2 linked regions of the Tribolium castaneum genome follow. The protein of the gene in region 2 binds, or shares a complex with, the protein of the main gene of each other region. Links are inferred from orthologs where the notes say so. Each region holds a gene or a part of one and is shown on either strand. Other genes may lie near its edges. The genes, in order: stck and basement membrane-specific heparan sulfate proteoglycan core protein.

What was found.
Region 1: basement membrane-specific heparan sulfate proteoglycan core protein (region 2) and stck share a complex: the UniProt entries of both Caenorhabditis elegans proteins name them as parts of the integrin containing attachment complex. The link is inferred for Tribolium castaneum from reciprocal best matches to the Caenorhabditis elegans genes unc-52 and unc-97.

The regions. Positions count from the first base shown.
Region 1 is NC_087400.1:2,459,837-2,469,641, reverse strand, and holds the end of stck (LIM and senescent cell antigen-like-containing domain protein 1), read right to left. Parts: intron 3,756-9,805; coding exon 3,497-3,755; intron 3,445-3,496; coding exon 3,303-3,444; intron 3,257-3,302; coding exon 3,048-3,256; 3' UTR 2,733-3,047; downstream 1-2,732. Other genes in the region: histone-lysine N-methyltransferase PRDM9, read right to left, coding at 1-132. UniProt on the Caenorhabditis elegans protein: Component of an integrin containing attachment complex, which is required for muscle development and maintenance. Probably function in adherens junction.
Region 2 is NC_087398.1:9,118,563-9,128,367, forward strand, and holds part of basement membrane-specific heparan sulfate proteoglycan core protein, read right to left. Parts: coding exon 9,801-9,805; intron 9,571-9,800; coding exon 9,427-9,570; intron 8,586-9,426; coding exon 8,472-8,585; intron 8,393-8,471; coding exon 8,156-8,392; intron 6,668-8,155; coding exon 6,389-6,667; intron 6,317-6,388; coding exon 6,176-6,316; intron 5,922-6,175; coding exon 5,862-5,921; intron 5,703-5,861; coding exon 5,688-5,702; intron 4,587-5,687; coding exon 4,359-4,586; intron 4,083-4,358; coding exon 3,945-4,082; intron 3,807-3,944; coding exon 3,558-3,806; intron 3,509-3,557; coding exon 2,796-3,508; intron 2,622-2,795; coding exon 2,137-2,621; intron 2,091-2,136; coding exon 1,892-2,090; intron 1,689-1,891; coding exon 1,266-1,688; intron 1,215-1,265; coding exon 1,009-1,214; intron 958-1,008; coding exon 564-957; intron 464-563; coding exon 273-463; intron 219-272; coding exon 1-218. UniProt on the Caenorhabditis elegans protein: Component of an integrin containing attachment complex, which is required for muscle development and maintenance. Probable structural role in myofilament assembly and/or attachment of the myofilament lattice to the cell membrane.

The sequences.
Region 1 (9,805 bases), on a different chromosome or scaffold from region 2:
CTGGAGCGGCAGTGGAACAGTTTGCTTGTTGTCCTTGCCCTGACGTTCGTAGATATTTGTCAGTGGACCTTCTTCATTCAGGCAAAATCGGCAAATTTGCATTGCACGCAAAATATTTGCACGATTTTCCATTTTGCTTGATTCAAAAAATTTTCAACACATTATTTGTACGAACTGTAAACTCGAAAATGGTGGTCGGCTTGGCTAAAATGGGCCCACTTGCGCATGCACAAGTTACAGCTGCCGCGCTTACCGACCGGGCGGCAATCGATTACAGGAAAAAGGCGGTGGGTTGTCGCCACCAACTCATAGAGGGCACGAATTGAAAAAAAATTCGTGAAAATTACGGAAAACTAAATACTAGGATGCACACGACGTCCAATTAAAACGTCTTTTTGTTACTTTCACTAACATCAACAGATGACACCCGTCCCATTTTAGCGGAATGTTAAAAAGTTTCTATCTTCCCCACTATAAAAGATACAGATTTGAGACAAAAAGCAAAAGTAACAAAATTTTGTTATTTTATGTGGGTATTATGGTTGGTTATGAAATTTTCAACAAGTTAATTTTTGTGGTCTGAAAAACATATAAATAATGTTTGATGTTTTTTTATTCATTTAATATTTAATTTAATGTCATTTTTAGTTTGTGAGTTATTATTTTCTCAAGCGAAAACTAAAAGAACTGGACGTTTTTAACTAGGACATTCTTCAAGTACTTTTTACAATAAATCTATTTCTGTCATTGTATTTTCCAAGACGTTCTTAATGTTAGAATTACAACACTGAACTTTTTTTTCTTATGAAAGCCATATTCAATTTTTGCGTTTTTGTAAAGTGTTTATTTCTGGTTACAACGATGTATCACATAATATGACCGAATCTTACGTGATGATCAAAATGGAGAAAAAAGCATTTTTGCGAAGAGTGCTTTGGAAAAAAAGCCGCCAACTACGTTTTAGAAGTTTAATTGTATTTGATTCTAGAACGTTCACATTTACGTCAATCTTGGGTACTTAAACACTAAACGACATAATAAGCTATAAGTTTATTCTTCGCATAACAAAACAAGACAATGTTATAAAAATTCTGTTTGCATATTCAATAGAACTGTCAAAATTTAGTATGTTAAACAAAATTTTTGGCGTTTCTTCGCATACCAAAGCAAGAGAAACTTAAAAAAATTTTGCTCGCATATTTAATAGATATGTCAAATTTGTTAAACAACATTTTTGACGTTTTTTCCAAAGCACTCTTTGCAAAAAGGCTTTTTTCTTCATTTTAATCAGCATTTAAGATTCGATCATATCATGTGATACATCATTGAAATCAGAAATAAAAAAACTCTTCAAAAATACAAGTTTCAAATTAGACGTCTATAAGAAAAACCAAAGTTGAGTGTCGTAACTCTGACATCAAGAACGCCTTGGAAAAGGCGATAACAGATTTAAATTCCTTGTAAAAAAGTGCCTGAAGAATGTCCAACTTAAAAACGTCTAGTTCTTTTGGTTTTCGTTCAAAAAAATAAAAACGAAAATTACATATTTCCGTTTTTTTTTCAATAATTCAAAAACTAAAAAAGACACATCAAATTTTCTTTTAGATAATTGTTCAGTATAAAAATGCACAACTTTTCCCTAATTGAACCGACCTCGTATCTTATAATAACGAGATCCTCATGATAGGCCTCGAAAAATGGACACTCTGTATAATTAAGTAAAAATTAAAATAAATTATATTTTGAACGTTTAATTGAATTTGAATCTAGAACGTTCACATTTTCGTCAAACTAACTTACTTACTGTCAGAGTTTAGTTTGTTAAACAACATTTTTGACGTTTTTTCCAAAGCAATCTTTGCAAAAACGCTTTCTTCATTTTAATCAGCATGTAAGATTCAATCATATCGTGTGATACACCATTGAAATCAGGAACAAAAGGACTTTTCAAAAATACAAATTTCAAATATGGCGTCTATAAGAAAAACCAAAGTTGAGTGTCGTAACTCTGACATCAAGAAGGCCTTGGAAAAGGCGATGACAGATTCAGATTCCTTGTAAAAAAGTGCCTGAACAATGTCCACCTTAAAAACGTCTAGTTCTTTTGGTTTTGACTTAAAAAAAATAAAAACAAAAAACCAAATTTCTGTTTTTTTTTCATTAATTCAAAAAGACATCAAATTTTCTTTCAGATAATTGTTCAGTATAAAAATGCGCAACTTTGTCCTAATTAAACCGACCTCGTATCTCTCATAATAACTGAGATCCCTATAGTGGACCTCGAAAAATGGACACTCTGTATAATTCAGTAAAAATCAAAATAAACGTAATTTTCGTGTTGGCAAAATTTTTATTAAAAATTATATTCTCAAAACAAAAAAATTAAGCATAAAATTTCGATTAAATAATATTTTCGTATTTTAAACTTCATTATAACTATAACGAAAAGTAGAAAAATTCTGAAAAAAATCACTTATATAGAGAAAATCAATAGGTATTTTATATCAAACGCTCAATCAAGTGCGACTATTAGTTTCTGAGATATAGTGTAAAACACGTCTAGGAGCCCCACCCTGTATAGGTACTTCAGACGTTCAATAAAATTACTGAAATTGGTATTTTACTTCAGAAATAAAACACCAATCATAAACTTTTAAGGTGCTATCAGGAAAATTTGTTTAAAGGAAATATGATTAAAGGACTTGGATAGATAGGCGAAAAATACAACGACAGTATTATAAGCCTTTTATTAATGACTATGTCAATGTTAAATGAATTTAAATGTTAACGATACTTCGACACAATTATTATAAAAATCGAGCACCAGTATGTCTATATAAATAATAATGTTTTTAGGCAGGTCATGAAATCAGTTTGAACAACTGAAGCAACTACAATATCTATATTTTTACGTACTTTATTCCTTATTTTTTCTGAGTGACACTCAATAATTATCAAGTTCAGTGTTGCCACCACATTAGTATGAGTAGTAGAGTAGTAAAAAATTATTTTTTTATTCATAGTTGAAATGTAGATTAAGGCACAAATTAAGTTGGCGTTGCCGCTTTTCTTTGCGGCATGGCCTCGTGTTGCCGCTTTAGCCTCCTTCTCAACTCAGTGGGAAATTTATCGTAACATTTTTTACATACCGGTTTAAGGTCGCACTCGTAGAACTTCGTCTTCTGGTTCATTTTCTGGTCGCAAACCGAACAGGCGAAGTGGTGAACACACCACGCTTTATTCAGCGCTGTAAAAACTGAAACCACATTATTTTGAATTTTTTTCTAACTAAAAAAAATTACCATCCCCTGCGATGACTTGGTTGCAAACGAAGCACAAATTCCCGAAAAGTTGGTGGTAGTGTGTCTCGCAATAAGCCAAGCCCTTTTTTTCGTAGTGGCGATGACCGAAGAACGGTTTCTCGCATTTGGCGCAAACGAAATGCTGCAAAAGTTGCGTTAGTTTTATTGCCGGTTTTTTTTGGTATTTTTTTTACTTCAACATGCCAGTGTTTGCCAAGGGCTGTGACGACACGTTCTTCGATTGGGCGCCGACAAGCACCACATATGGGAATCCCCATTTTGTCGTGACAGCGAAGACAGTATAACTCGTTCATGTCGTTTGCTGCAAAGCCAGGACGACTTCTCACTTCTCTGGCTGTGTAGTCAAGCTCAACTCCACAGTTGGTACAATTGAAATGGTACGGGTGGTACATTTCACCGCGGAATTTCAGCGGCTTGTCGTCGATCAAAGCACTGAAAAAAAAAGGGCATTTTTGACCAAATTATCGCTTTTTTCAACAGATTTTGTTGATTTTTTGACAATTTTTTTTAGAAATTTGCAAATTTCCTGCTTACTAAAATCTTGTAAACAAAAAAAAAACAATTTAATTGCCTTTCTTACTGAAAAAGACAGCAGAAAATAGTGAAATAGTAAAAATTGGGGCACGAATGGTTTTGGAGCACGACGAAGGAGTGCTCCAATGGAACAAATGTAATATACTATTTTTTCTTATTTCTATTTTTGTTTAGTTTATTTCATTTTTTTGACGTAATTTTGAAGTTTTTCGAGTGAAAACACCAATTTCGACCAAATTTTGTGATTTATCGACTTATTCTCGACAAAATTCGGAATAATTATTGTTCAAAAAATGAGCCGAAGTGCAATTATGTAAAATTTCAGGTTAAAGAAAAGAAAAAAAAAGAAGTTTCGCGGGGAAATAATTGCCTGTCTCACTGAAAAAGAAAGCAAACATGATTTTATTTTTGACCTAACATGACTTTTTGACCTTTTAAGTTCAAAAACTTTCAAAAATAACACTATTTCGTTAATAAAAACTTGGATAAATAGAAAATTTTTAGCTAGAAAATAAGTAAAATATACCATTTTTGAGCTAATTTTGAGATTTTTCGACAGATTTTTGATGAAATTTCGACCGAGTTTAGTGTTTCATCGATTTTTTCCGACAAAATTCGAAATAATTGTTCAAAAATTGAACTATTATATGTTTAAACGCTTGAAAAGGACCATATGAACATCAATTTCGATCTAATTTGGTGACTTTTCGGCTTGATATTGAAAAATCTTCCAAAAAACACAGCTCACCATTTCCACTTTTTTGTGGTCATTTCTGGCTTATTTTCGACAGATTTTTTCAAAATAGTTGCATTTCCGTTTAAAAAAAATGTTAAATGGTCTAAAAAGGCAAAAATAAAGTAATTTTTTTACATAAAAATAAGCTTCAACATTCGGAAAAAGGAAAAAGAATTTCATTGGTGATTTAATTCCGTAATTCTTTAGCTTAACTTAGGAAGATTTTGTGAAAAAAAAATCAGTTTCAAGTCCGAAAGCGTTCTAAAAAATCTTGTGATTTTTCCGCTTGTTTTTTTAATGAAATTTTTCAAAAATCTGATCTAACTGAAATAACTTGTTAAAACCGAATAATCATTTAATTTTCGCAATAATAAATAAAATTTAAAAAAATAAGAAAAAGAGAGTTTATGTTCAACGTAAAATTTATTGAAAAAAAAAAACACAATTATAAATACTTTCGATTTAACTTGTTGATTTTTTGTCTGATATTGTAAAATTTCGCAAAAAAACTCAGTTTTTAGCTCAATACCTGTGAAAACAGGCAAAACCATCACAATTTTTACCCTACTGTGCTAATTTTTGACTTATTTTCGGCAATTTTTTTTTTAATTTCTTCTTTCAGGCAATAATAATGATATTTTCGACATAAAACCTAGCTTAAAGAATAAAAAAATGAAAGAAGAATGCCAGTAAAGATTTAATTTCGTAATTATTCGGCTTGACCTAAAAAAAACTGCAATAGAACGTTCATTTTCGCCATCACTTAATATTTTTTCGGTAATTTTTCAAAAAAAAAAAAATTTTGAACTGAAATAACTTGCTAAAATCAAAATGATTATTTAATTTTCGACCAAAATTTTATGATTTGTCGGTGAATTTATATCAAATATCTCCCACAAAAAAAAATAGATTAAAGCAGTAAAACGTGTTTAAAATGAAATTTATTGGAAAACGTGCCAAGAGACTTAAAAAAAACGAAAAAACAAATTAATTTTTGACGTAATGTACTACTATATCAAACCGTTAGCTAAATTATCTCCAACTTTAAATAATATTATTTTACTTTTATGCAAAAAAAAGGCAATAAAAACATTTTTTCTTGCCTCACATTGTAAAAAATCCGCAGTTTTCACACCATTTTCGCTTTGACCAAATTTTTTGACGTCTTTCTCACCAAATTTTGAAAAAAAATTAATAATATAGTCGTTTCTGTAAACGAAAAACTGTCTTTCTTTTTTTTTCAAATAAACAATTGAGTTTTAGACTGAAGAAAGTTGCAATAAAGCGTCCAAAAAAATTATTTAATTTCTCGAGTTTTTAGCACTATAAAGTGCACAACTGTTCAAAAATAACGCAATTTTCGATTGATTTTCGAGCAATTTTGCGAAATTGCTAAAACAAGAGAGAAAATCTTAGAAAAACAAAGTTTTTACCTCACAAAAAAGGTAAAATATACCATTTTTTGAGATAATTTTAAAGTTTTTCGACTGATTATTGATAAAATTTAGCGAAAATTTCGACCGAATTTAGTGTTTCATCGATTTGTTTCCAACAAAATTCGAAATAAGTGCTCAAAAATTGAACTAAAAGCCGAAAAACGATCGGTTTTTATCTTAAAACCTTGTTTAAACGCTTGAAAAAGGTAATATGAGGATCAGTTTCGATCTAATTTGGTGACTTTTCGGCTTGACATTGAAAAATCTTGCAAAAATAACTCAGTTTTTAGCTCAAATACTCACCACCCCACTCCACTTTTTTTCTGGTTATTTTTGGCTAACGCAAAAGAGGACAAATCACACAATTTTCGCTCTGTTTTGGTCATTTATTGTCTTTTCCACCAAATTTTTAAAAAATATTAATAATAAAGTCTCTAAAAAATGTAAAATACGGACGAAAAAAGCAAAATTTATTTTTATTTTTGCCCCTATTTAGTAATTGTTCAAATATTAATAATAAATAATTTCGACTCAAAAAAGTTGCAATAAAGTAAACAACCGTTCAAAGACAACGCAATTTTCGACCAAAATTTTATGATTTGTCGGTGGATTTATATCAAATATCTCCCACAAAAAAAATAGATTAAAGCAGTAAAACATGTTTAAAATAAAATTTATTGGAAAACGTGCCAAGAGACTTAAAAAAAACAAAAAAAAACAAATTAATTTTTGACGTAATGTACTACTATATCAAACCGTTAGCTAAATTATCTCCAACTTTAAATAATATTATTTTACTTTTATGCAAAGAAAACGCACAAAAACGGCCAAAAAAGGCAATAAAAACATTTTTTCTTGCCTCACATTGTAAAAAATCCGCAGTTTTCACACCATTTTCGCTTTGACCAAATTTTTTGACGTCTATCTCACCAAATTTTGAAAAAAAATTAATAATATAGTCGTTTCTGTAAACGAAAAACTTTCTTTTTTTTCAAATAAACAATTGAGTTTTAGACTGAAGAAAGTTGCAATAAAGCGTCCAAAAAAATTAAAAGCTATTTAATTTCTCGAGTTTTTAGCACTATAAAGTGCACAACTGTTCAAAAATAACGCAATTTTCGATTGATTTTCGAGCAATTTTGCGAAATTGCTCGAACAAGAGAGAAAATCTTAGAAAAACAAAGTTTTTACCTCACAAAAAAGATAAAATATACCATTTTTTGAGATAATTTTAAAGTTTTCCGACTGATTATTGATAAAATTTAGCGAAAATTTCGACCGAATTTAGTGTTTCATCGATTTGTTTCCAACAAAATTCGAAATAAATGCTCAAAAATTGAACTAAAAGCCGAAAAACGATCGCTTTTTATCTTAAAACCTTGTTTAAACGCTTGAAAAAGATAGTATGAGGATCAGTTTCGATCTAATTTGGTGACTTTTCGGCTTGATATTGAAAAATCTTCCAAAAAACACAGTTCACCATTTCCACTTTTTTGTGGTAATTTCTGGCTTATTTTCGACAGATTTTTTCAAAATAGTTGCATTTCCGTTTAAAAAAAATGTTAAATGGTCTAAAAAGGCAAAAATAAAGTAATTTTTTTACATAAAAATAAGCTTCAACATTCGGAAAAAGGAAAAAGAATTTCATTGGTGATTTAATTCCATAATTCTTTAGCTTAACTTAGGAAGATTTTGTGAAAAAAAAATCAGTTTCAAGTCCGAAAGCGTTCTAAAAAATCTTGTGATTTTTCCGCTTATTTTTTTAATGAAATTTTTCAAAAATATGATCTAACTGAAATAACTTGTTAAAACCGAACAATCATTTAATTTTCGCAATAATAAATAAAATTTAAAAAAATAAGAAAAAGAGAGTTTATGTTCAACGTAAAATTTATTGAAAAAAAAAACACAATTATGAATACTTTCGATTTAACTTGCTGATTTTTGCCTGATATTGTAAAATTTCGCAAAAAAACTCAGTTTTTAGCTCAATACCTGTGAAAACAGGCAAAACCATCACAATTTTCACCCTATTGTGCTAATTTTTGACTTGTTTTCGGCAATTTTTTTTTAATTTCTTCTTTCAGGCAATAATAATGATATTTTCGACATAAAACCTAGCTTAAAGAATAAAAAAATGAAAGAAGAATGCCAGTAAAGATTTAATTTCAAAATTATTCGGCTTGACCTAAAAAAAACTGCAATAGAACGTTCATTTTCGCCATCACTTAATATTTTTTCGGTAATTTTTCAAAAAAAAAAAAAATTTAACTGAAATAACTTGCTAAAATCAAAATGATTATTTAATTTTCGACCAAAATTTTATGATTTGTCGGTGAATTTATATCAAATATCTCCCACAAAAAAAAATAGATTAAAGCAGTAAAACGTGTTTAAAATGAAATTTATTGGAAAACGTGCCAAGAGACTTAAAAAAACGAAAAAACAAATTAATTTTTGACGTAATGTACTACTATATCAAACCGTTAGCTAAATTATCTCCAACTTTAAATAATATTATTTTACTTTTATGCAAAGAAAACGCACAAAAACGGCCAAAAAAGGCAATAAAAACATTTTTTCTTGCCTCACATTGTAAAAAATCGGCAGTTTTCACACCATTTTCGCTTTGACCAAATTTTTTGACGTCTTTCTCACCAAATTTTGAAAAAAAATTAATAATATAGTCGTTTCTGTAAACGAATAACTGTCTTTCTTTTTTTTTCAAATAAACAATTGAGTTTTAGACTGAAGAAAGTTGCAATAAAGCGTCCAAAAAAATTAAAAGCTATTTAATTTCTCGAGTTTTTAGCACTATAAAGTGCACAACTGTTCCAAAAAAAAGCAATTTTCGATTGATTTTCGAGCAATTTTGCGAAATTGCTAGAAGAGAGAAAATCTTAGAAAAACAAAGTTTTTACCTCACAAAAAAGGTATAATATACCATTTTTTGAGATAATTTTAAAGTTTTTCGACTGATTATTGATAAAATTTAGCGAAAATTTCGACCGAATTTAGTGTTTCATCGATTTGTTTCCAACAAAATTCGAAATAAGTGCTCAAAAATTGAACTAAAAGCCGAAAAACGATCGGTTTTTATCTTAAAACCTTGTTTAAACGCTTGAAAAAGGTAATATGAGGATCAGTTTCGATCTAATTTGGTGACTTTTCGGCTTGACATTGAAAAATCTTGCAAAAATAACACAGTTTTTAGCTCAAATTCTCACCACCCCACTCCACATTTTTTCTGGTTATTTTTGGCTAACGCAAAAAAGGTCAAATCACACAATGTTCGCTCTGTTTTGGTCATTTATTGTCTTTTCCACCAAATTTTTGAGAAATATTAATAATAAAGTCTCTAAAAAATGTAAAATACGGACGAAAAAAGCAAAATTTATTTTTATTTTTGCCCCTATTTAGTAATTGTTCAAATAATAATAATAAATAATTTCGACTCAAAAAAGTTGCAATAAAGTAAACAACCGTTCAAAGACAACGCAATTTTCGACCAAAATTTTATGATTTGTCGGTGGATTTATATCAAATATCTCCCACAAAAAAAATAGATTAAAGCAGTAAAACGTGTTTAAAATGAAATTTATTGGAAAACGTGCCAAGAGACTTAAAAAAAAACGAAAAAACAAATTAATTTTTGACGTAATGTACTACTGTATCAAACCGTTAGCTAAATTATCTCCAACTTTAAATAATATTATTTTACTTTTATGCAAAGAAAACGCACAAAAACGGCCAAAAAAGGCAATAAAAACATTTTT
Region 2 (9,805 bases):
TAATGACGCTCTTGTCAGGAACGTAGCCAGCTTGCGGACGTTGGGTGAAGCGCTGCGTGAACTCAAGTCGGCCGCCGTAAGACTTGACCTGGTTGCCTGTGAATTCGCGCGGAAGCGACCAAAACCATCTCTCTGAAGTGCTCGGGCGGAACGTGTAGCCGATTTCGTTCATGGAAGTGTGAATTTGGAAGCCGGAATCGATGCGCTGTGTTTGGTACCTTCAAAAACACACAAATCAGAAAATCTTTTAGATATATTTTTTTTTTAATTACTGGTCTGTGAGGGTAAATCCATGTCGGTCAGCATCAATAAATATCGGAATTTGTTCGTAGAACAGGTTGCCTTCCACACATTCGGTGGCCACTCCGGAGCAGAAGCAGGTTTGACAACCGTGGATGTTGCCGCCACTTAAACCGAAAGTCCCCGGCCGGCAGCGGTTACAACGGTTGCCTTCCACGTTGGTCTAAACATTAATCACATTTTATTGCAAAACCAGGCCGAAACTAACACATTTTTCAACAAGTTAAGTAATGATCCCGGCGCATCCACCATTTTTGACCTACCTTACACCGACAAATTCCGTTGTAACACTCGGGTGAAATCGCCCCTTGTTGGTCGCAGTTGCACTGTGAGCTTCCCCCAACACACGGAATGCCGTTTGCAGGGTCGCCTTCATATCCCGGCAGACACAACTCGCAGTTATCCCCAGTGGTGAAGTTATCGCAGTTCTGGCACACGCCGGTTTCTGGATGACACTCTCTAGAGTTACCGTTGCAGTTGCAAGGTTCGCAAATTCCAAGGTAGATTCCTTCTTCAGCTCGGGTGTATCCAACGGCGCAGTCTTCACAAGACAAACCCGTGTAGCCCTCCGGACAGCGGCACTGTTCAACGGCTAAAGCGCGCTCGCTGGATCCAGTGTTGTATTCGTTTGCCGTATCCAGAGACACCGAAATCAATCTAAGTTTGCTTATTTAATTAAAGCCATAGCACGAGGCGAAAATTACTTACGCCGACTCTCGAGTGTTGGTATTGTAAGTCGCTTTGATATAAATGGCATTCAAATCGGCCAAAGCCATTAGCAAGTGCTCACGGTCGGCCTTTTGGCCGTCGCTACGTTGCCAGTATTGCTCCAATAATGGAACTACGAAAGTTTGCGGCGATCCAGTCGGTTGAGATTGTTCCCTTGCGTAGTACAATAAAGTTATTTCATTGGCCTAAAAACACTCCCTCAAAAAAAAAAACAACCAGACTTTTCCGAAACTTACACTGACGAGTTCTACATCAGCAGCCGAATTCCTAGATATCTGGCCACCCGGTAAAGGAACGTAGCGTAACGTGTACTTTAAGTAACCACCGTACGAAGCTATTTTATTTCCTAAGTAACGACGAGGAAGTGACCAGTAATGGACGTTGGGGTTGGAGAAACTGCTATAGGAAATTTCGCGTTGATTTTGATCCAGTCTGATTGCGTCTGTGATGGGTTCTTCTCTTCTTTCGGTATCAATAAGAGTGAAATGGTCACGCGAACTTGTAAAAGTAGTACTGATTTGGTCCCTGAACCATGTAGAACTGCTACACTGTCTTGTGACACCCATGCAGAAGCAGGCGATACACCCGAATTGGTTTTCTCCGCTGAGATGGAAGGTGTTAGCCTTGCAGGTGTCACAAGTCGGACCATCAACGTAATCCTGACAAGATAAAGATTTTAATCAAAATGTGTGACACCCAATTTATGGATAATTTTTTAAGAGTAACTAAATCGGCAAGTAGTCAAAATAATGACAAGGATAAATTGCTGCACTTACCATAGAGCGGAAACGAGCGTGAAAAAAGTTTCGCGATGTTAGTATTAAATTCCAAAAATGGAAAAATCATCAAAAATTCTACTCACTTTGCACCGACACCTTCCTTGCTCTTCAAGACTTGTCCCTTCCGAATTGCAATACGAGGAAGCCCGGCACGAATCACCCGGAATCAGAGGATTTCCAGAATAACCAGGAGCACACTGTTCGCAGCGTCTCCCGACATATCCCGGTGGACAGTCACAAGTAACCTCACCATCGGACCCCAGTGAACAAGTTCTGGCAAACCTATTCACCGAATTAATGCAACAAATATTCCTCAATCCACACTTACTGATTGCTGGGACTTGTGAGAGGACATGGGCAAATCTCACACGGTCTTCCCCGTGACGGATCTCCGTAAGTTCCTGGAGGACATGGTTGTGGTTGGACGCGGTAACATTGTCCAAGCCAGGGGCCGGTCTTGTGACGCACAAATCCATCAGCGCAACGCTCACAAGACGATCCGCTGTAACCAACAGGACATTCGCACTCTTCCACGTACGACGCTGGGCCTAGACCACTGTTGGGTGCCCCCGCAGAGTCCATTTCTATGTTGGTGATTGTGGTGTTAAGTGGACCTTCATTGTATTGCAATTTAATTAAAATGTTGTCAACTTCGGCCAAAGCCATCATTATTTCTTCGCGCGTTGCTGGTGTTTCTAGTTGACGGTCCGAACGTTTCACCCATTCGCCCTCAAAGAATCGGACTTCGATCTGTTCGTCGCGGTTTGAGGGCGGGCTAATGTTGTGTCTGCTCAGTAACGTGTAACCATTACCCTGAAAATTTGTACTCGATAATGCTAATAATAACATTCCCTAACTGTTATTTATTGTCACGCAGATTACGTGTGTATGTAAAATTTCAGTTCGTTCGGATAATGTAATCCCTCTCAAAGTAATAAGCAACCAGATTATAAAACATAAGTTAAATAAAAACTTAAAAGAACTTACAGTGAGAATAACTGTAGGTCCTGCTATGGTATATCCTCGATTGTAATGTCGCACCGTAAACCTCAGATATCCACCATAACTCTTCAGTTGATTTCCGTGGTAGTTCTCCGGCATGGCAAAGTATGGCACGAGGTCGCTCGAGCTGATTTGACCATATGGTGGTAACTGGGCGTGAACACCATTTCTGCCAAGTCCCGTCAACTGAGGTTGTGCATTTCGGTAAATTGGTTCATCCCTAATATCAATCACCCCTGTGTTCGAATCAATGCGAACACCCAAGAGTTTTAAAGTATCGAACGGCGGTTGGAAATGGTAAATAAACAAGTCTGCGGAACGACACTTGGTGGACTGCCCGAAACAGAAACACTTGATGCATTCGGCCTGACTTCTAGCTTCCTCATTAAAGTAGCCAGCAGGACAGACAGTATTTTGATTGATGACTAGAATAGTGTCCGGGATCGCAAAAACAGTCCCCTTGATATTGATAACTTCGCAAGAATACGCGCCTTGATCTTCCACTTGGATGTTGGGACAAGAAAGCGTCCCAAAGCCGTTATCGCTGGTAGTGCGGCACTTGGGCGGAATGTGGCCCCAGTTCAAACGCCACACAATCTCAGGTGTGGGAACACCGACTGCCGTGCAAGTAATTTCGAAAGTTGAGCCAACCTCGAGGTTGACCATCGGTGGTGGAGGTTTAGAGACCACGGGTATCGCTACGAAAGCGTTGATGATTTTTAGCCTAAGATGAAATTTTTTACTTACAACAACCGATTTCATCGCTACCATCGATACAATCGCGTTCCAGATCACAGTGGTAGCTTCGTGGAATGCATTGGTTGTTGGAATGGCATGCGAATTGGTGGTAGGCGCACAGGGATCCGGGAGGGTTTGTGGCGCAGTTTTCTTCGTCGGAGCCGTCGCCGCAATCATCGTCCGAATCGCATCTCCAGGTCTTCAAAACGCACTTCTTGTTGGCACAGCGGAATTCGTTCGGTTCGCAGCCGTTGGGGTCTGGCAATTTTATTTATAAATAAATAAATAAATTTATTCGCACTGAATTAGATAATTGCTCGTGGTTTAAAGACCTGGTGTCTTTCGATTTACATAATTTGGAAATATTTAAACGTCAAAATATACGACCCAACTTACTGCAACGGTTTTCGTCGGAACCGTCGGTGCAGTCGTATTTCTCATCACAGACTTGATGTTTGGGGATGCAGTCGCCGTTTGAACAAGTGGCTTCGTGGAGGGCACAAGCTGTTGGTGGGCGGATTGGTGGTGGAATCCCTGCAAAAACAGCAAATTAATCACCACTTTTAAAAAATATAACATTTCAAAACAGCGAAACTTACCGTAAGAAAAAAGAAAGCAGTGAGAAAACAGAGCTATTAGTAAAAATTCGTTTAGTATTCATTGTAAAAATACCTGTCCCAAGATACTCAGTATCTATAGGAGGCAGGACTCCATATTTCAACAGCGACGATTTGGTTTTACTCCTCCCGACTGCATGTAACATTGTTAGTCGGAGGAAAACACCACGAAATGTGAGATTTGAGCACTTACATCGGTCGACTTGGAGGTGCACTGAGACGTGAGCTCCGGGTGTGTTGGGAGGATAGCCAACGGCTTCACACGTGTATGTTCCGCTGTGTTCCACTTTAATGTTGGGTATTTCAAGTCGACCATTGTGGTCTCTGGACCCTGGAGGTAATGGTTCTCCGTTGGGTCGCGTCCAGCGCACTCTGGCTCTAAATGGACCCTCATCTCTGCATTGGAAGACGACTTCTCGATCTAGGTTGGATTATTATGCATTAGTTTTGGGTTAAAAAAGGCGGAAACCAGTCCATGCATATTTACACCTGGACTAATAAATTATGGAAGGGTCAGTTCGGATTAAATTTTACTTAAGCGCCCTATTTACATGTTCGTTTAAATAATGGAGCTTTTTAAATGAGATGTTTCAAGGTGCAACGGTGTTATTTTCAACTTTTTTAATAGGTTATCGTGTGTTTTAACTCCCAGTGGTAATATTTACTATGTTGAAGAGGGTCGACTAAAACCTTTTTTTTAATAACAATTAACTCAAAATACGAGAACATCTCTGAAACTGTCTTTCTTCTGCAAGTTCATTTGGACGGTTACTATTACGAGTGGCAATCGTTAATTTTGGTAGACTCTCTTCAACAATATATTCCTGCAACCTTCGAAGTAGTATTTTTCTAATTTCTGTATTTCCTAGAACGGTGCCTACGATCTTTTGTTCCTTTCCTAAACGGTTTAATGTTATCACTTTGGTTATCACAAAAGGTAAATATAAAACTATGATTTTTCATACAATTACAAATGTATTAAACTAATTATCTCCCTCAATTTATTTGATAATAGTAGATGCAATTATTAATTGTAAAACCCCCAATTACATACGTGTAATAAGCCATAAGCATTATCCCTTGAGAGAAAGCCTTTATTTTCAGAAAGCCGATATATTATATACAAATTATGAGACACATAAAGACTTCTATACTAAAAAGAAGACAACTATGTTAAAAAACAGAAGGAAGATTGTAAAAACAAACAGGATACAAATTTGCAATTTGTATTTGTATTTATTTAAAAATATCAAATTTAATCGTTTCTGTTACACACAAACATATTTTACTGGATCTTCATAGAGCTAGGGTAGGTACCTAAGCTTTTGAAAGAAGTAATTTGTTAGAAGTAATAACCAAATTAAGTGAATTTGCTCACTGGTATCCTGTAGAAACAAAATAAATAATAAATTTCGCACACACAGGCGAGGAAAAGTATAGAAGGTTTATGTAAATAAGTGAAAGACATGAAGTGGCGCCTTTGAATGAAAGTCATTCCCGCTAAGTTGCCCATTTTACTCACCAGGTTTATAAATGTCTGCTCCAACAAGACATAAAGAGAATAAAAATCATTAGTTACATGTATACAACACAGAAGACATTACATATAGTGCGTAATATATACACGAAGAAGTGCACTGAATAATTACTAAAATACGTGGACAAAAAAGTAAGCGATAACTAGCTGAATACTCACTTTCTTTAATTTCTTGGGAGCTGGGATAGGTCCTTAAGTTAAGCCCCTCGCTAGGCCCAGCTGTAGAAAAAAGATCGTATTAATGTTTGTCGCATAATTCGTCATTATGTCATTAAAATGTTAATCTTCGTCCCCCATAATTTACGTTTCAGATAATTTGTTTAAATTTAGTGAGTTATCTTTTATGTACAGTAAATTACAGCGATTATTAGTTGTTAAATTGTCCATCAACCGACTAGAAATTACAACAGGCCGTGTTATTAAATAAATAATAATCATGGTCAGTCGCATAATTTAACTTGCGACCGACTTACGATAGCGCGTTGGACAATCTAGCTCATCGCTAGAATCTCTCGGACAATCCACCTTTCCGTCACATCGCAATTCCTCTCGGATGCAAGGGCCGTTTTCGCACCGAAATTGGCCGCGTGAGCAAGCCCCTTCGCGCTTGGGTTCTAGAGGTGGTTACAACATCAAGGGAAACACACAGACATTTAGGACAATCACAAAATCGGTAAGACACTTACGACAGTTGGTTTCGTCGGACATGTCGTTGCAATCGACTCTGCCGTCGCAAAATTGGGAATGAAGAATGCATCTGTCCCCACTGTGGCATGGCTGAGTGCCTGGCGAACAGGTGATTTGGGGCGGTCTCGGTGGCAGTGGTTGTTCTGTTACAAATGGCGGTGGTTGAGTTGGGCAATTAAACTCATCAGAACCGTCACTACAGTCATTCCTTCTGTTACAACGTAAATTACCGGCTATGCAAGTTCCATTCGAACACTGGAATTGATCTGTACGGCATTCTACGAGAAGGGAACAAAAAAAAACAAAATAAATATAACACAAAAGAAAAAAACAAATTAAAAAAGCAAATAGTGCAATTAGATCTTGTCTCTTCCGAAAATAAAAAAGGACAATTTCTATGATTAAATGGTGATGGTCTCGTAATTTTTCAGCAAGTAAAAATGAAGTGAAACATGTCACAGAGGCGTTTAGAACGGCCACTATTTTATAATTGATTTATTACTGCAACTCGGCCAAAATGAATACTACAATAAAAATACTTAATTTAAACAGTTTATTTTAAAATTGTAGTTAATAAACTTAGGTAGAAGAACGATTTCGTGTAAAACACAACACGCAAACTTTATTAATGTGCCAAAGAAATAGATATAAATACATAATTATTGTGGTAACTAATAGCGCGGCGATAATTATTTTTTACTGTTAAACAAAAAGTGTAATTAACTGTGAGTTTACAAAATGAATATTTATCAAAACAGTGTAGGGATGTTCATAAACCAAATCACAATTTTTCGTTTCATTTTTGAAAAATTAAACCAAAAACTGATGCGGCATTAAAAATTTCTCGGTGGCATTAACACTAATGGATGGATTAGTATCGGAAATGTGTATAACTGTATACACACACGTAAACACTTACAAAAATGTAGTATTCGACTTTTAACCGAACAAAACTTGGGTGCAATAAACCAACGAGGATTGATAGAGTATTGACACAATAGTTTCGAATGATTATGTAATGTTACCCACAATTATTCAATGAATAAGCTTAACATTTGTTTCATTAGAATTTAACTGTTAAAATGTACAAAAATAATTTCTAGTTTTAAGCATTTATTTTTAATCTTTTAGTGCAAATAAACGTGCACAAATAAAATAACAAAATAAATAAAAACTGTCGTCAGACTGGATTTGCCTGGAGTCCAACTTCTGCCTCTTTGTTGAAAAGAAATAATAGGCAAATTTGAAATTAATAAAAAATCATGAGTATACAAAAATATAAAAAAACACAGACTAAATGTGGGGAACAACCATGCTCGCAAATTGGTAGACTAAATATAAGAATACGTAGCCTATGGGATCAACTGCTAAAATGGGCCAAAATCGAATAAAATGTAACACCGATCTACGGTTCTAAACCAGAAACCTACAAATCACACAATGTCCTACTGTAATACTCTATGACTGCGTTAATACTGCTACAGAACCCTAGTAATATCTGACACCAAATACACCTAAAAACGTCAACAGAAATAGTAAGAAACATGGACAGAGCTCTAACCAAAGCAATTTTGTTCGTCTGAAAAGTCCCGGCAGTCGTAGAAGTTATCGCAGCGAAGGGTGGCGTCAACACAGAGCCCGTCCGAACACTGGAACCAGTCAGGCTCGTGGCATGTCCCTGGCCAAAAGGCCAGAAAACAGATTTGTTTGAGGTAAAAAACAGTTTGGAAAAGAGGAAGTCACAAGTAAACTAAAAACAAACTTACGACATTCTCTTTCGTCCGATCGGTCGGGACACTCGGACACTCCGTCGCAGCGCAGGTAATTGGGGATGCACTCGCCGTTATCGCATTGGAATTCATTAACTGTACATATGCTCGGAGGCGGCGGACAATCAAGCTCGTCACTGCCGTCCCTGCAGTGGCGGACGCCGTCACAAAACGCAGAATTCGGAATGCAAGTGCCGTCACTGCAGCGGAATTCATCTTCTTCATGGCAGTAAGCTGAAAATTTTTACAAATGTTTTGTCTCATTCATTATTTAATGTAACTTAAGTAGCAACATTGTGCAAACGCGACTTACTGGAACTGCATTCCATTTCATCCCGTCCGTTCTTACAGTCCTGATATCCATCGCAACGAAACTCAGAGTTAATGCAAGAAGAATCTCCACAATCGAATTGACTAGGGAGACATCCTACAGTAAAAAATAAAACGTTATTTATCTTAATTCATCTATTAGCAACACAAGCATGAGAAACTTTTAGGTAATATGTAGTTAGTCAAAGTTTAATTTATAGTTACAAGAGGATTAGCTAAGTACTACATACAAAATTTACGTTCACTGACCGAAAATCAATCAAATCAGTCTGTTTACATCGAAAATGTAAACCGGCCTCTTCTATGTTAAAAAATATTGGGTCATTAATACGTAATTCTAATGGCAGGTATCCGATTATACAATTTTTTAATTAACACTTTATACACATAAGAAAGTTAGTGTTTACTTAATCCAAAATGAGGTCTGTTGGTACCTGTGATTATGATTATTTGATAAATTGTTTACTGGCTAGAGGCCAGCATTTTCGATTGTTGCCGATTGTTACTGCCGTAGTTTTAGTTTTCCAACTTTTGTCACAATAAATACATAGAGGGATATAGTCAAATGTATTTATAGCAAATAAAAAGCTACTCGTATTCGTTTTACGCGTGTATGTTGGAAAAAATTCAAATATAATTATTTCCAGGACATCTCTACATGAGAAATATTTATTAGACATAAAGACGTACCTAATGTTACTTGTACAGTCCAGAGTGTCTCAAAAATATTTATTTTTCTAGGATCAAAATAGCTGAGACACCTTGGAACTAGTAAATCCTAATTAATTAAGCATGAGAACTTTTCCAAAGTCATTTGCGGTAGTTATCAAGGTTAGACTAAAAATTACGAACTAAAATATTGTTTAGTAGTAGAAGTTAGTATGTTCAAAAGTAAGGTCAGAATCTACTAAAAGGCCCTTATTAACGCCGAGACATACTCTTATCATCAGGGCCAGGTAGTGGTCCAGTGCAATTCTGTTCGTCGGAACCATCAGGGCAATCAGGATGTGTATCGCAAACACGTCGATTATCTAAGCATACTCCGTTACCACACCGAAACTGGTCTTCTGGACACGTGAAAACTAAACGCAAACGAAATAATTGTAAAACAAGCCTGAATCTAAGTCACACTTTTGCCTTCTACATTCTAAGGGTTAATAGAATCATACGAGAAAATTAAAACAATTCTAACAACCAGAGATAAGAGGGACTAGAAAAGTTCACAACAAAAACATTGAAAGAGAAGGGTAATGGTAGCGAACAAGTGGATGAAGAACCACAGCAAGAGTCAAATCTAAGCAGTCCGACATACCGCAG